Linked DNA regions of Saccharomyces cerevisiae S288C. The protein of the gene in region 2 interacts with the protein of the main gene of each other region in a biochemical or structural test. Each region holds a gene or a part of one and is shown on either strand. Other genes may lie near its edges.

Evidence for each region. Proteins that work in one complex are often made in the same cells at the same time.
Region 1: the proteins of UBC11 (region 2) and APC11 form a complex in vitro, tested with the Saccharomyces cerevisiae proteins (one study listed by BioGRID).

What each region holds. Positions count from the first base shown.
Region 1 is NC_001136.10:431,664-434,494, forward strand, and holds APC11 (anaphase promoting complex subunit 11), read left to right. Parts: upstream 1-1,833; coding exon 1,834-2,331; downstream 2,332-2,831. Other genes in the region: glutathione-disulfide reductase GRX6, read left to right, coding at 667-1,362; YDL009C (uncharacterized protein), read right to left, coding at 1,262-1,585. UniProt on the Saccharomyces cerevisiae protein: Probably catalytic subunit of the anaphase promoting complex/cyclosome (APC/C), a cell cycle-regulated E3 ubiquitin-protein ligase complex that controls progression through mitosis and the G1 phase of the cell cycle.
Region 2 is NC_001147.6:957,747-960,543, forward strand, and holds UBC11 (putative E2 ubiquitin-protein ligase UBC11), read right to left. Parts: upstream 1,087-2,797; coding exon 616-1,086; downstream 1-615. Other genes in the region: YOR338W (uncharacterized protein), read left to right, coding at 1-243; DNA-directed RNA polymerase I subunit RPA43, read right to left, coding at 1,456-2,436.

The DNA of each region.
Region 1 (2,831 bases), on a different chromosome or scaffold from region 2:
AAATATTCTGGACTAGGTGGAAGGAAGCTTCGAGAACTCACCGTGGCTATTCAAGGCTGATGGACATATGTACTGGGCTGAGCTTAAGATCTCCCATTACTGCTCCGTGGGGTTTTATGTGAAATGTGGCGTTTCAGCAGTTTTTAGTTGGCTAATTTCCTAAAAGTAGTAATTAGTTTCTTATGATGGATTTAATGGCGTAGTTCATCCGCGTTTAATTTAACTAGAGGATAATCTACTTGCAGCATGAATGAAAATAGTAAGCCAGTAAGGATGCACTGACAGACTCAGCTACCGATTAGTGTTGTTGACTTTTCCGCAAGATCCTTTTCTCCCTCTTTGGACCTAGTCATCCCTCCACACAAGATTCGCTCTTAAGTAGTGGCGCAGGCTGTTCGCTTTTAAGCATAGTGCTTAATGTCGAAGGCTTTATAGATCCCAAATACTACGCCTTGAGAAATTGAATGCACTAGCAGTTAGTTAACTTTCTGGAACGCGCATGACGCGTCCCGGGGCGCCTGAGGCGGAGCGTTCGCGAAATCGGGAAAACATTATACTGGGAAAGATCACTATCTATTCTCTAAATGAACTTTTAAGCAAATTATCGTAAGATAGAAAAGACGAAACCTTAGCAACCTAGCGGTTTAATATAGAAACAATTTTATTATGATACCTTCCAATAAGAGAAATGCTAGAATTTTAAGCATTACAACGCTATTATTGTTGTTAGTGTTTTTCGTAGCGCAAAATGCGAACTTCTTGACGGTAGAGATAAAAGAGGAAACTTCTAAAGCATTTAGTACTAATATGGACAATATGGCTGGAGGATCTTCCAGGGAATATGCTGCTATGCCGACTTCTACCACGAATAAGGGGAGCTCTGAAGTAGACGAAGAAATTAATGAAATAAAACAGAAGGTGGGACTCCAACAGCCCATAGCATCGGTTGATGATAGTTTGTCGGCCATTAAAAACGATAAAGGGTCGCGAATAACCAAAGCTTTTAATGTTCAAAAAGAATACTCCCTCATACTAGACTTGTCTCCGATTATAATATTTAGTAAAAGCACCTGTTCATATAGCAAGGGCATGAAGGAACTGCTTGAAAATGAGTATCAGTTTATCCCAAACTACTATATTATAGAACTTGACAAACATGGACATGGGGAAGAGCTGCAAGAATATATCAAGTTGGTGACCGGTAGAGGAACTGTTCCAAACCTTTTGGTTAATGGAGTATCAAGAGGAGGTAATGAAGAAATCAAGAAACTGCACACTCAAGGGAAACTTTTAGAATCATTACAAGTCTGGAGTGATGGTAAATTCTCGGTTGAGCAACGTGAAAAACCTTCCAATAATTGAAATTGTTACAAAAAGGAAAGAAGAAAAAATTAAGAATAAATATATAAATAAAGAGGTCGTGAATGATTAGGTCGTGAAATGCAGTGTAGTTGGAAAGGCGTAGTTTTCCTAGCACAAGGCGTTTCGGAGTTGGAATAAAGAAGCTATCACCAACGAAGAAGCTTTTTTGTCCAAGACATCTCTTAAAAGGGTTGTGAAAACATAAAACGCTTAATGCCTTCATATATACATATATAAGTTTATGGTTTCGATGTTTACAATAACTTCTATCCTTTGCTGGTCCATGCACTTCACCTTGGTAAGTTATGCAACGCACTTTTGTCTACGCCTGCATTCGATATAAAGGGTAAGCTGCCGAGATAACTTTTGTATCTTCCGTGTCTGCAGATAAAAAAATAATGCATTCTTCAAAAACTTTGTACAATATCGGGAGAGTTTAACAAGCAAAGTGGCAATACAGATTATAAAAATATGAAAGTTAAAATAAACGAAGTGCACAGTGTGTTTGCTTGGTCATGGCACATCCCTAGCACATCTGATGAGGACGCAGCCAATAACGATCCAATTGGCAATGATGAAGACGAGGATGTCTGTGGTATCTGTCGTGCCAGTTATAACGGTACCTGTCCAAGCTGTAAATTTCCAGGCGATCAATGCCCTTTAGTGATTGGGCTATGTCATCATAACTTCCATGATCATTGTATATACCGTTGGCTTGATACACCAACCTCAAAAGGACTGTGTCCGATGTGTAGGCAAACTTTCCAGCTACAGAAGGGTCTAGCAATTAATGACGCTCATGTCCAAAAGTTCGTTGAAATAGTTTCAAGAAGAAGAGAAGAAATGATAGAGGAGGGCGTCGCAGAAGAGTTTGTGGACTTTGATGAACCAATAAGGCAAAACACCGATAACCCAATCGGTAGACAGCAAGTTGATACCATCCTGGACGAAGACTTTTTGTTACGATAAAAAAGAAACTTAGAAATCACAATTAGCTATATTTCCATACGGTTCTTTTCTTGTGAACGCTGTTAACATTCTGTATACTTAAATGAAAATTTAATATTGATTTTTTCTTGTTGCAGCTAAAGATAAAAAAATTTTCTTTTCCAATCGTTGAATAGATGTACTGTAGCCGGAACTGAAGTTAAGGTTGTTAGATTGAAAAAGAACAACAGTGTACTAATCATGCTAACGATGACAGCGGTATCGTTGCATACTTAGAATACATAAAAATATGCTTCCAATCGGATTTGAACCGATGATCTCCACATTACTAGTGTGGCGCCTTACCAACTTGGCCATAGAAGCTTCTGATTTGTGTTCATTTGATTGTAAGTTAGAGTATTTCAAGCTCTAACTCAATTATGTGAACTTTCATAAAATTGTGTTATTTTTGAGAAATATGTGAGTTGTTAGATAATTGTTGGGATTCCATTGTTGCTAAAGGCTATAATATTGGTATACAG
Region 2 (2,797 bases):
CAGCGTCTGCATCCTGCAGAACTAGTTCTCGCACAGATTCTGAGACTTCCATGTGATCTTTATTTGGACTCTAAAAGAAGATTTTTCTTGGAAAAAGTTCATAGATTCAAAAAGGGGTTGCCGTTCAGGAGAACGGATGCTCAAAAGGCTTGTAGAATAGACGTTAATAAAGCATCAAGGCTATTTGCAGCATTTGAAAAGGTAGGTTGGTTACAAGATAAACATTTTGAAAAGTATTTGTAAGAAAGAGGCGGTACGCCTTTGGGATAGCGTATCGTTTCATCGTTTAAACGAGCAAATTTGATAAGTACGGAATATGACAGTCTCATTGAGTAATACAGAATTGAGGCGTTTAAATGGTTATGGTTAAGGGTTACGGTTACGGTTTTTTATTCTTAGAACACATTTGATATATTTTTATTTATGGTTTTTTACATATAGATTTCGTTCATATATGAGGTTTTCTTTTTATATTAATTATATTTCTTCGGTTGTTACGTTATCAATTTTGTTATTGAATTATTACGGGTTATGAACGCCGTAGAAAAATAGCATTGGAGTTTGAGAGTCTGTGGCTTTTCTGTCACATCATTTTTTCGTCTAACTTAGGTTAACTCAGTAATCGTCGATTTCTTCATAACAGGCCAGGACCTTTTTTCTGTATTCCTCCATATCTGCATCCCAAAGTTCTGCTGCCACAGCGTTCAGCGGAGATCTGTTATTTGGTTCGCCAAGTAATGACTGCAATGACAATAGAATTGTTTCTACATTATACACTGCAGACCATTTCTCTTTCAGAATGTCCAAACAAATGTTGCCACTCTTATCCACGTTTGGATGCCACATTGGACTCAAAAATTTAATCATTGGCGGATGGAAAGGATAGTTTTGAGGAAACTTCAATGAAACCTTGAATTTAAGTCCACTATACGGTGTGTCTTTAGGGCCTGTAATATACCCTACCCAGTATGTTAAATCATTATCGTCTACGGGAAACGCACTAATACTTTCTGTTGTAGAACTAAGTAGCTGTAGCAGCTCATTTTGTAAACGTTTCGTCACGCAACCACCCTCTTCTACTGCCATTCTATACTAGCAAGCCTCGAATCATACAGGTTTTGTAGCACCTATAAGATGTAAAATATGAAAAATTTTTTCTGATATCTCATTTATCCAGTGTCAGAAGCATGTTTTGTGTCGCTATTAGTCAACGCTTTTTCCTTGAAAATCTCTTTCTAATAATGACATCATTAAAAAGAGTCCATTAACGTTATAAAGGAAAAATATTTCAAATTAAGCTTCATTACTGTTGATATATTGTCGAATTTGCCACGGTTTAGCTACGTATGCAGGACTATTGATTATCAGCACTGTAATAATGTACAATTATTTATATTATCCTATATCAATAACGTATATCTTTATTTGTTTTGATTTTTTCTCATTTTTCCCGTCCTAATCACTATCACTCGATTCACCATCATTGCTTTCACTGGTGTTTTCCTCGTATACGATCTCTGAACCATTATCTTCTTTTACTTCAGGTAAGTCTAGTTCCTTGTGGCTCTCTTTGTTTTCGATTGAAACTTCGTCATCAAATACAATTTTTTTGTTTGAAACTATAGGTAAACTTTCAGCTTGGGAACGAGAGCTGTTATAGCCATTGCCTTCTTCGTCGGCGTCACTTATTAATGTACCGTCCACAGAAACAACTCTTCCTGTAGTATGAACATTTCTCACTGTGAACCTCAATTTACCGTCAATGGGTTCACCATTAGAATCTACCCAGTGGCCCAAAGATCTGTTTCCAAAGGAAAATTTGCCCAAACTATTGCTTCCACCATTGCTATCCTTGTTATCTTCGTTATTATTGTTTCCATTATTTTCATCTGTGTTTATCACGTCAGCATCTTCTTCCACGTCGTTATGGACAAAGGTCCAATCCACAGGGATATTATTCTTTTTGATACTAGCATTAAACGCATCATGAATCAAAAGACCAATGTGTGAGGCGGATTGAATGAAAATGTAACCTTCCAAAACATCTCCAACTTGTGGCTGCCAAACGTATAGGTTTACATGGCACCAAGTAAATCCAAAAGGGGTATCGGGTGTGATTTTTATTAGTTTTTCTGATGTATCTTCTTTGCTTAAAGGATCAGCATCAAGAATTTTCAACCCTTCATAACCTAGCACAACACCTCCAACTTTGTTGTTATATTTCATTACTAATGGGTTCAAGTGCTGCTTCATGACACCTTGCAAGGGATTTTCTAAATACATTGGTGCCAAAGAAACATAGAGAGCAATGGGAACACGCACTATACAGTTGGAAGTTCCATTTTTCTCATCAATTGGGTTTGTAACCTGTTTTTTGTGTTTCTTGATGAACCTTGCGGTTTCGCGGTTCTCATTGGCTCTTTTTACTTGTGACATAATCCACGTTTGTCTCTTATCTTTCTGATATTATTATATATAAGCAAAAAAACGAGGGAGTGTATAACGATAGTCCCTTCGGCTCTATTTTATTGTAAACCTCCACTACATTGTCATATTTGCGATGCCATTAGTATTTTATTGCAGAAAAATTTTTTTCAAACCACCCATACACCCTCATCGGAATCTTTTCATTTCAAAGCGACAGTAATATTTTCTGTCAAGAATACACAAAGGATACACTTGCAGCTGGAATAAGCAAGATTCCACCAAGTTTCTTCTACCTGAAATACATCTATTACGGGGCCTTGATTAAAAGTAACTTAACTTCGCAGTTAAATTTAACTTTACAAGAACGGCA